2 linked regions of the Bombyx mori genome follow. The protein of the gene in region 1 purifies or fractionates together with the protein of each later gene. This does not show direct contact. Links are inferred from orthologs where the notes say so. Each region holds a gene or a part of one and is shown on either strand. Other genes may lie near its edges.

The links.
Region 2: the proteins of cyclin B homolog (region 1) and Cdc2 purify together in Drosophila melanogaster (affinity purification with western blotting; 8 studies listed by BioGRID, with this or other methods). This does not show direct contact. The link is inferred for Bombyx mori from reciprocal best matches to the Drosophila melanogaster genes CycB and Cdk1.

What each region holds. Positions count from the first base shown.
Region 1 is NC_085111.1:8,674,216-8,680,373, forward strand, and holds the end of cyclin B homolog, read right to left. Parts: intron 6,133-6,158; coding exon 5,665-6,132; intron 5,037-5,664; coding exon 4,914-5,036; intron 4,120-4,913; coding exon 3,899-4,119; intron 2,439-3,898; coding exon 2,051-2,438; 3' UTR 1,303-2,050; downstream 1-1,302. UniProt on the Drosophila melanogaster protein: Essential for the control of the cell cycle at the G2/M (mitosis) transition.
Region 2 is NC_085122.1:10,046,365-10,052,277, forward strand, and holds the start of Cdc2 (cell division cycle 2), read right to left. Parts: upstream 3,674-5,913; 5' UTR 3,663-3,673; coding exon 3,514-3,662; intron 3,394-3,513; coding exon 3,249-3,393; intron 2,848-3,248; coding exon 2,713-2,847; intron 2,022-2,712; coding exon 1,912-2,021; intron 1,584-1,911; coding exon 1,470-1,583; intron 606-1,469; coding exon 503-605; intron 1-502. Other genes in the region: uncharacterized protein LOC110385314, read left to right, coding at 5,569-5,613. UniProt on the Drosophila melanogaster protein: Plays a key role in the control of the eukaryotic cell cycle. Required for entry into S-phase and mitosis.

The DNA.
Region 1 (6,158 bases):
ATCTCTACAATCCCACTTATAAAGGCTAGCCGTCGGAGCTCCGTGGTTCGTGAGGAACGTTGACCTACACGACGACCTGGGCCTCGAATCTATCCAGAAATACATGAAGTCAGCGTCGGAACGGTACTTCGATAAGGCTATGCGTCATGATAATCGCCTTATTGGTGCCGCCGCTGACTACTCCCCGAATCCTGATCACGCAGGATCCAGTCACCGTCGACGCCCTAGATACGTCCTTACGGATCCATCAGTTCCAATAACCCTTGCATTAGCTTTAACACTAGGAGTAGGGACCCCGGTAACCGTGGTCCTCGAACTCGGCCAACCTAACCTAAGCATCAGCCCGCTGAGTTTCTCGCCGGATCTTCTCAGCGGGTCGCGATTCCGATCCGGTAGTAGACTCATTCGCGAAACAGCTACTCTTTGAGGAGTTAGGTCTCGTTTCGAGGCGCTCGAGCAGCTGTTAACAAACCCCACCCCTCCTGACTGAGCCTCTGCTCGCCCACCTGTCCTGGTAAAACTGGAAAGGCCTCCGGGCCACCAGTAACTCTACTCTACTGAACTACCAGTAACGAATTCTCTAATATAAAAAAATAAATAAAAATAATGAGTATAAACAACCGAGTGCGCGATATCACGAAAGATGAATAATAGAAAATTCAATAAGATCAATAATAAATTACAGTTCCCGAAACAAAGCGCGGGCGGGTCGGTAGTATGAAATAATTTACTTTGCACATTCCAATTTAATCTACCAGAAGTTCTGTTAATGCAGCAAATAGGTAGGTACTATTAATTAAATAGCGTAGCGTTAATTTTTTTTTTCCTACCTATGCTGATAGCCTTGAGAGGCTATTTTAGCTTCACCCTAACGTTTGTAGGTGAGCTCACGGGGCTCAACCGGAGAGTTGCTAACACTGACCTTAAGTGTATAATCTATGCACTGACCCTAGCAAGAGCAGTGCTTCGCAGAATCTACCACCGAATCGGAAACACGACCCACTGAGAAGATCCGACGAGAAACTCAGTGGGCTGTGTCTATGGGTTAGTTCGCTCGTCGAGCCCTTCGTCGCAAGCGACGAGTTCGATGAGGATGGTGACCGGTGCATGTAGTGCCTAAAAGCACCGTTAATGGATCAGGAGGATCCGTAATGACGTGCTTTGGGCGACGTCGACGGTTTACCATTCGGTCTACTGGGTAGGGTATGTAGTTTCCAGCGGCTACGATGAGAGGGTTCTCATGTCCCCGTAGCGTTCATAGGTTTTTAATTAACAAACTAGTCGCAATAAAACAGTTTATTTGTACATCATTTTTTTATTTATCAACAAACGACACCGTTAAATCTAATCACAGGTCTAAAAATTACATTCTAAAATATCATATTTAAACACAAGAACACTTTCAATATTATATCAAAATACCACCCAACACATTGTTCGATTCATGTCTTAAAATACGCGGGCAGCGAGTCACGTTTTTACCTCATTTTCGTTAAGAAAAACAAAAGAACAAAAACAGTTAAGGAAATAGTTAAATCATACAACCCAATCTCTAGAAACTATATTAATTTTGAAAATATTAAGAAGCATGCAGCATGTGAATATTGATCAGAATATTCAATATAGTGAATAAGTCGACGTCATGTCTAGTTTGTATACAAGTCGTAATTTAAAATCATCCTCTCGGACAAAAATCTTTACCATAATGAAAACACTATACAAATAAAGAAACTACTAAAAACCTGAAGTGATTTTTTTTATAATATAAATAACAAAAGGTTCAAGTTATGTAAAATGTAGTCCACTTTCAGATATAAATACATAAATACAAATAATATCCATGTCAATACAATTCTATCAGCACTCACAGTCATCATATATTTTATCTAAAAACTAAATTATATCTAAATTTAAAACATAAACAAAGCAGGTACCTTAAAACAAGCTTAATATAAAACTCAGTCCATTAAATTAACATTACAAATCAGAAAAGTACACACATGTCCATATTATTTCTATATTCCTACATATTTTGGTAATTGAATTTAATCTAAGGGCTTGGGCTTGATATCTTTGCGAGTTCATAAATCGCTTCGCTTTTCAACTGCGGAAGACTGGAAACTTTAGCCAACGTCGTGTCCAAATATTTGTTATATACGGCTTTATATTTGGAATTTTCAATGTTAATAACAATCTTTGCGATTTTCCTTATAATCGGATCTATGTGGTCAAGATCGTACCCAGAGTAGTAAGACAAGGTAGACGTCCATACTTCGGAGAGTGTCTTGCTCGATAGCAAATGAAGTGAGAGGCAGATTGCTGCCGCTGCTAGTTCTGACGGTCGATAATGGGCCATAGTATATTCGACTAGACAGAGATCAACAAAGTATTTGGCCAAATGATGATTCCTCGATGTACCACGTGCGGCTTTTACAAATCTAGAATAACATAAAAATTATCAATAACACGTCAGCGCAAAAGTGGCCTAACCCATAATTCATATTCGTGCTTATGTATTGCAATTTATTTAAAACATAATAAATTTTGATGCAAAATCGGCTTATCCTTAGTTTCATCCATAGATGCCTTTTGGAAACATCATTTTAGCGCATATTTTTTTTGCCTACGGAGTATTGTAAAGGTAAATTCGAACTTCATTTTCTCCATACTAACTATGGTAAGCTTAGGCCACTTTTGCGCTGACGGCCTCATATATAAACAAGTTTTTGACTGCATTACTTACATTTCAAATAATACGATGACTGTCTTGCAGAAAATAAAAATTTTATGCAAGTGGACCTAACAATTTAAAATTTTGAAAAATTGATATATCATGAGGTCCTTTCCTGAAGTGGTGTTAAAGTCTTAATTTATGTATAAAGAAATTTGTTTTTAGGTATAAACGAACCCATTATTCACTTAGTATTAGGTAGTTAGTTACCAGAGCCCATAGAACACCATGATTCCGACTAAAACAAGAGGTTGAAGTCTCAAAGGCACTATTAAAAGCACACCCATGATTCAAACTGGAACGAATTGTTTTATTTTTTTTCCTACTTAAGCTGGTAGCCTTGAGAGGCCATTCCAGCGGAACCTTAACTAGTAGGTGAGAGCTCACGGGGCTCAAACCTGACGAAGTTGCTAACACGAACCCTAGCAAGAGCCGTGCTTCGCAGAATCTACCACCGGATCGGAAACGCGACCCTGAGAAGATCCGGCGAGAAACTCAGTGGGCTGTGTCTGAGGGTTAATTTACTCGTCGAGCCCTTCGTCGCAAGCGACGGGTTCGACGAGAACGGTGACCGATGCTTAAAGTACCTAAAAGCACCGTTAGTGGATCGGGAGGATCCGAAATGACGTGTTTTGGGCGACGTCGACTGCTTTCCATTCTTTCCGCAGGATCGGGAATGTAGTTACCGGCGGCCACGGTGAGAGGGTTCTCGTGTCGTGCCTCTTAATCGAAGTGGACGCTATTGTAAAAATCGTTTGCGCACATAGGAGCCTGTGTTAAGTACGTATTTACTTGATTTGCCTTAATTGACACCTGCCTACAGATTCGTAACAATGGCATAGTTTCATTGCTTTATGAGAATGCACCCGACGTCTTTTCTCTTTATGATGACTTAACGTAACATTACGATTATACCACTATTTTTCCAAACAAATTAATTCTGTTAAAAAAAAGTTTTAAATTACATATTTCAGATTTATTGTTTGTTTTCTACTACCATCTGCAACCTACCACTGCTACCACCAATTCTTCAATGCACTTAGTCCAAAGGTTCTACTATTCAATTAGGACAAAGTTGCCTAAATCAGGAGAAGGATGGAATTCGTTTTCATATTATAAGATGCTCAATACATCAATATAGAAATAAAAAAAAGACAATCACAATACCTTCTAAGAAAACTCAAAGGTATCGGTCTCGCAAGACAGAAGCCCAGTTTGCACATAATGTCTCTCTCACAGCGGAATACATCAGACTTGGTGTAGGCATTATCAGTGACATAAACAAAATCGCCAACATCTGGAGCGTAGATCTCTTCATACTTGCTTGCTATGAACATAGCCGTCACACCGACTAATTGTAATTGATTGCGCTGGACATTTGGAACAACCTGTACAAAGCAGTAATGTTTAATATTTGGTCATTTTTTGTTACTTACATGATAATAATACTCTTTTGAAGTCCTCGTGGCCTAAAGAATAAGACGTCCGGTGCATCGTATCTAACGATGCAACGATGTTCGAATTCCGTAGGTGGGAACCAATTTTTCTAATGAAACACGTACTTAACCAATGTTCATGATTGACTTCCACGGTGAAGGAATAACATCTTATAATAAAAATCAAACCCGCAAGATTATATTTTGCGTAATTACTGGTGGTAGGACCTTTTGTAAATCTGCACGGGTTGGTACCACCATCTTGCCTATTTCCGCCTGAAGCAGTAATGGGTTTGATTTGAAGGATGGGGCAGCTGTAGTAACTATACTGAGACCTTAGAACTTATACCTCAAGGTGGGTGGTGCATATACGTTGTAGATGTCTATGGGCTCCGGTAACCAGTTAACACCCGGTGGGCTGTGAGCTTGCCCACCCAGATAAGCAATAATAATAAAAAACTCAAGTTTCTTAACTTCTCACCCTTTAATCCTAATATTCAATCTATCTGGTGATAATGGCTATTCTGAGCTAACAAAGATCAATACTATGGGACAGTAGTTCTGTTGTAATCACATATTCTGACTTGAAGAGTAGAGCCAGCAGGTAATACATTTAAGACTGAATTTAGTCTTAAGGATGATATGGTATTTCAATTCCCACAGAATAGTCATAGGAAAACAAGTATTCCCCCCATTAAACCAGATGGTTTGCTTTTATGCTGCACATACTACTTAGATCACTATACCTGCAAATATCTGTCAATAATGCCAACAGTGAGATGGAATGTCTCCAATACTAATGAGAATTGGCGTTGAACTTCCACAAGCCAATCAATGAGTGTTGCTCTCATTTTGCCAGTTATAACAGTCTGAAATAAAAAAAATACATGTTTCAAAACCTATTGCAAAAAGGCATGCCTTAGGCTCAAATTTATTGTTGCATTCAATGTTCCTAAGATTTCAATTACTTTAGATTACTTTACTCTAAAAAATATGTACAATACTTATCATTCATTAGTTTTACTTACATAGCCTTCTTACATCATTTAATGTTCAACAGAATTGGTTCATTCAACTCAGATCAGACTCAGCTACCCACCATTATAGTCTTAAATTACAAAATCAGACTGGAACACATTATTGCTTCATGGCCATAATGGACAGGCTGATATAAACGCAACAAATAGTGCCAACCAGATTATTGAAGCACAAGGAAACATTACAGCAAATTACTACTAATAGAGAGAGTAATAAGACTGTATAAATAAATTTTATGACAAAACTTTATTAATGCTCAAGGCAGCTGTCGCATATTATTATTAACTATATTCATTATAATCCTATATTATTATAGTCTAAAAGTTTTCAATTATTTCTAGTACCAATTCAAATTTTCTTTTCTTTTTTTTCTAAATATAATAAACAACATACGTAATGATAAACCAACCAGGTAGAAATTTACAAAAAAGTATTAAATATATGAGAACGACAGTTTACCTGCTTTTTTAAATGATCAGGCTCAATAGAATATTTCTCTTCCAATTCAGTCAAGTATTTGTAAATGTCCTTGATATACATAGACATTAGCAAAGGGCTGTTGTTGTCTCCGGCATCAATATCTTCAATATCCTCAGGCAGTGGAGGTGTAATATCAAACACAGTTTCAAAGAATTCAGCTTGCTTTTCTACCTTGGCTTTATCTATTAAGCCCATTCCCTTCTCAGGGTATGTTTCAGCTAGTTTTAACTTTCCTAATGATTCGATTGGGTCTTTTAATGCTAGTTTTGTTTTCCGTAAAGAGTCAGTTCCATCTTTTAGATGTGATTTGGATGTTCTTAATTCTTTATTTTCCTTTAGCATGGGCAGCTTTGTCTTTTTTGTGTCTTGACATTTCTTAGTTTGTATGTAGATGTTAATTGATTCTTTTATTTCATTTGGCTTGTTCTGATTATCTTTTAAAGCGACCTAAAAATATATTAATTAATTTGGCA
Region 2 (5,913 bases), on another chromosome or scaffold:
CTGTAAAACTGGGACTCAGAACTTATGTTCCAAGATGGGTGGCGGCATTTGTGTCGTTAATGACATGAATAAATGCTGTTTATTAGATTCCGTTACCGTTATTATAGGTGGGCCACATGCTCAATCACAAGTCTGAGCGATAAAGAAAGTGAAGAAAGATAGTTTTGATATGAGGTCGAAGTTTCAATATAAATCACATAAGAGCTGTCCCATCTTACAAACTGGAACGCATAAGTGCTTCACGACAGAAACAGGACATCAAAGTCCAGAATAAATATATTAAAAAAACATTATACAACACACACACACACACACACACAAAACTTTTAACAGCTGGTTCTGCTAAAATAAACTTTCACTAAAATCCCAAGGGAATATCTTGGCTAGCTGGAGTAGTGTCACTCATTATGTAATAGAATTCAATTAGTTTTTCATATATCTGGAAATATCTCAAGAACAATAGACATATAAAAATCTAAAATAAAATATGCTTCATACGTACATGATTGTGCAGATTGTACGTGTTCCAGTTCGGGAAGGTTGGCTTGTAGTCTGGTAGGAGAGAAACACCAGGCCATATCTCTTCTGTTGGCGTTCTTAGCATTCTGTTAATAAATTAAGAGATCTTGTGATTTAAATAGTTACTAATAAGAAAAAGTGTACTCCAGCAGATACCATATACATTGATCATAAACGAAATTGGAAAATGAGTCAGAAAAATTAACTCAAAAAAAATTGGGAGTCACAAATCCCATATTAGAAGTTTAGTTCATTCATGTATCTCCATTTCATTGGAAATTATGCATGGAGCAAATCTATCTGTTCAGAATTTCACACTTTATTGATTTGAATTTACACATATAGTTTGTTTTATTTAAGCTAATATCAGGTATAAGCAAGGTCGCAAGAAAGTGGAGGTACATCCGGGAATGGAATGGATAAACAGAAGTTTTAGAGGCTAACAATATGTAAACTAGTCTTCTATTTCTTTCTACATACTTCAAAATTACATATTTATAATCATATTTACTGCCCTGTAAATGTAAGTCAAACATTTCATTATATTCATTCTTTTATTGGAAGGAAATCACTCAATCAAGTTGAAATAGTATTATTATAATTTAATTACCCCAACAACAGGTTTTTTTAAAATTTATTAACTGTTATATAAGTGTTGTTGTAGTAATTGCACACCCAAAAAAAACAACCAAAACTTGAATGTCCACATCATATTTTAGTTAGTGTTCAATCTGTGTTTTAATCCAAAACTAGAGTTTTATTCTAAGCACCAGTTACATTCCATTGTTGAAGGGAGCATAAAAAACTTTTTTTTTTCAATTATTGTTGTTAAGATTTAACTCTAATAAATCTAAGGCAGACAAGCATCACAGTAAGTGGTCACCGTTGCTCATGGACCTCAGAAATACATAGCCAAAGCCTACCACTAAAATGGCGAAATGCCTACTCACCTGAAAATGCGGAAGAGTTGATCAATTTCAGAGTCTCCTTGAAACAGTGGCTTCTTTGATGACATCTCAGAGAATATACAGCCAACTGACCATATATCAATTGGACAAGAGTATCTAAAAGTAAGACAAGTTACTATTATACAAAATAAATAATAAATAAATAAATAATCTACCAAATAATGAACTCCACACGGTCACTGACCATTCTTTTGTATTAAGAAACAATTAGTGGCAATGTATTGCCACACTATTCTATGAATTTACAATGCAACTTGCCATTTTTTAGAAAACAAAGTCTAAAGCTCTTAAAACAAAATGTTTTTTCTAAAATACATTTCATTATTGGGCCAAATTACAACTAATGTGTATTGATTACTCATTATAGAAAAGTTATATTGGAGTTTGTAGTGGCTGGTTTTGACTGATTTGGATAAGATTTTACCTTTGACTTCCTAGTAAGACCTCAGGAGCCCTGTACCACAATGTGACAACTTCATGTGTGTAGACCCGCACTGGAACACCGAATGCTCGACCAAGACCAAAATCTGCAACCTGTCACAAATTTATTAGGTATTTATGAAGAAAATAAAACTATATGACCATTGTCTAATGTCAGTGTTTGACTTTTCAAACTGGTAAAACTATATTTTGAACAAATATACTATGACATGGCCTTCACACACGTCATTTCGGATCCTCCCGATCCACTAACAGTACTTTTAGGTACCTCAAGCACCGATCATCGTTCTCGTCGAACCCGTCGCTTGCGACGAAGGGCTCGACGAGTAAATTAACCCTCAGACACAGCCCACTGAGTTTCTCGCCGGATCTTCTCAGTGGGTCGCGTTTCTGATCCAGTGGTAGATTCTGCGAAGCACGGCTCTTGCTAGGGTTCGTGTTAGCAACGTCATCAGGTTTGAGCCCCGTGAGCTCACCTATTAGTTAAGGTTACGCTGATATAGCCTCTCAAGGCTATCAGGTTAGGTAGAAAAAAAAGGCCTTCACATTGACCTATAGTAATAGCACTGACACTGTTCAGTCAGTATCAACACCAATATACATGGTCTATATAGCGTCCATAGTTTCATGTTACTGGTTTTGATTTACAACTTTTTTTAAAACGATAAAAAGGCTGTCAGTAGTCTAGAATTATCGAGAGGGTTCTTGCTGGTCCCAAGACTCACTGTTTAGCACTTTTTAATATCTTTTTGCAATTATTAATATCACCATAAAATACTCTCACTTTAATGATTCCAGTCTTGTCGATGAGTAGGTTCTGTGGTTTGAGATCTCGATGCAGGATCCGTCGTTGGTGACAGTACAAGATGGCATTGTTGATTTGATATAGATAGCTCTTAACTACAGATGGGTCCATGAACTGAAAATAAATAATGATAACCAATATTTTTACAAAAATTTACTCTGTTACAAAATTTAACATTAAGAATTACTTTGCCTTGTCTTGTGTGACTTATTTATTGCATTTATAGATGGCCCACCTGATGGTGAGTTGTATCTAGGTCTTGCGGAAATCAGCAATTCTAGAGGCAAATCCCAGCCATGGTCAACTGCTGACGCATTATCTCAGGAGACCTTCGCAGTTTATTTAAACAAAAAAGTTTTTTTTTTTCAGAAATAAAAACTCCAAAGATGCAACTAGTCCTAATTAACAATTTTTTATATTTTAAGCATTGTACTACAATTTATATGATTGTGGACACACTTCAAACAGGCGTCATAGTTTGTTGTAAAATTTAATTTAAGGCATGGTTATGTTACCTTTCCAGAACCAAGGGAGTCCATATATTTCTTCAAGTCCATAGAGAGGAATTCGAAGATTAAGTAAAGTCGCGACTCTTCCATCAGGACATCCTCCAACTTGACAATATTAGGGTGGTTCAGTTCTTTAAGTAGAGATATTTCTCTGAAATGTTTTCAAGAAGTTCTGGTTAATATAGGTTATGTTCTCAAATGCATGAGAATGTGTTTTTAATTAATATAATTGTTTTTGTGCAAGTAATTCATTCAATTTTACGTCGTTTACCTTATTGCCGTGGATGGTATGCCTTCGTCTTCGGACTCCAAGCGAATTTTTTTCATGGCTACAAATTGACCAGTTATTTTGTTTTTTCCTTTGTAAACGACACCGTAAGTACCTTCGCCGATCTTTTCTATCTTTAAGAAATCATCCATCTTGTAGTAAGGAATTTTGGCGGTTTTATGCAGACCACAACAAAAAAATCACAACACCATGCAATTTTTCTTACTCCTACAAAATGCGTGTTTTAATAATTTTTATGTGTTTTAAATTCATAAATGTCTCAACATTTGACTGTAATCCTTAATTCAAGTCACTTCTGTTCTTTTTAGGAAATATTTTAAATGTTTTACTATTTTACAATCTCTAACGTTTATCCCTTCAACGTCTTTCAAACGAAAACTTTTTGAAAATTTTCGAAGTGGACTATTTATGTCAATTTATGTGTCTATGCTTTGTTTATGACTAACTTGTTTCAGAGTTAAATAACGCTTAGAATAGCATAAATGTGCTACTTCAATAGACAAAATTGTTGTTGCTAGAATGAGATAGTACTAGAACACTAAAAATGCATATCAAAAAGCTTGATGTTTTATGAATGGTATCGGAACACATTATCATAGACAAACAAAGAGAGATTAATTTGAAAAGCAAGACGTACATACATACGTTGTAAGCATTAGTCTATTTTAAATAATGCAAACTGAATCATTTCAAAGTAAAATATAAATATTAGTTTAATTAATTTATTTATTTTGTTAAGAGTTACACAGGAAAGCAACGATACATTATTTTTACAGTAGTTTTCGTCGTGCAACACTAGAAATGAATCTGTTGGTACCCTAATGTGTGGAAAACAAAGCTTAACTAAATATAACTGTTTATGGTTTTCAATCTGATTTAAGGTCATAAATAGTCACAATCGATCTTTTTTTCGAGGCATCACATTAGGCTTAGATTTTTTTTGCTATAGCTTGTTTTATATCCGCGATAAACGCGTTTTTTTCTCATTTCTCTCATTTTAAGACCTCAAACGTGTTTTATGTTTTTATTGGATCGCATAACATTTTATATCTTAACTAGGTAGTCTGATTTCAAAATATCCAATAATCGTTGCTCGATATCCGTGTTTCATTCATATCCGCCATTATTGTAGCGACAGTCTGTACTTTAAAGTAATAAATGAGAATCTTTTATTGTTTTGAATTCTAAAAATGCTAGTCGTATAATTGTTTTAGGTACCTACAAATTTGAACCGATTTTGGTATTTCCAGACTGATATCGGATTTAATTTTATTCGATTCCCGATCGCGACTGCTTTTATTAAAATGCCGTCTGATTTAACCCTTAAAGTTTAAGGGTTAAGGTAAAATAAGGTCCAAGATTTCGGCCAGAGAGAGGTAATGAGAGCAATTCATCATACTCAAATTCTACAGATAATTTAATCTGTTTCTCAATTGAACTCTATGTAAACTTTTGCCCTTGAGCGCATTATTGTTTTGCAGCAGAAACAAGTAATATGGTGGAAACTCCCGTACCGGCTCTATGTCATAAAATACAAGCAATGCATAAAGACCGGTACACAATCACGAAATGCTGTTAATAAAAGCATTAAAATACTCTGACAATGCCCATTGTACGTTGAACCCATTTATTTAAAGTTTTTCTTTATTGCCCTTGTAGGCAGACGAGCATACGGCCCACCTGATGGTGAGTGGTTACCGTCGCCCATGGACTTCAGCAATGCCAGGGGCAGAGCCAAGCCACTGCCTACCGCTAAAACGCATTAACATCATGCAGTCAAATTTCTGAGAATCAATAATATGCACTATATTATTTACAATAGAACACGGCGATTTATATTACATACTTTAACTTGTGGGTCAATAATCTAGATAACGTTAAATTGATAAACTATATACTGTTTAGCTCAGCATATTTTCAAATCACGTATGTACGGCCAAGCGTGACATTACACATGTATTTTTATCAATATGAATATAATATAGGCGATGGAGTTGATAATTCGATATTATTCACTAATGTCAGCCCGTGTGGACAATGTGGCGGTTTGTGCTGGTAACCAATGTTCTCGTGATAGGAAGGGTGAGTTTTTTAAAAAAATTTTAAGTAGCATGTACTGCTGGAAGAATATTCAGCCTGGCTTAAGAGGAATCGTGTTGGGCGTAGTTCGTACAGACGTAATTCCCTGTTCGATTCTTGATTAATGAAATGCGAATTCTTGAATAATGAAAACTATTTGAGGCCTCGGGAGACCAGAAGGCCGGTACGTATTTTGCACAAAGAATTAGCATTGCTATCCAGCGTGGAAATGCTGCCAGCCTTCTGGGAACGCTGCCAACTGGCGGTGAGCTAACACAGCTTTTCTATTTATAAGTAACTTTA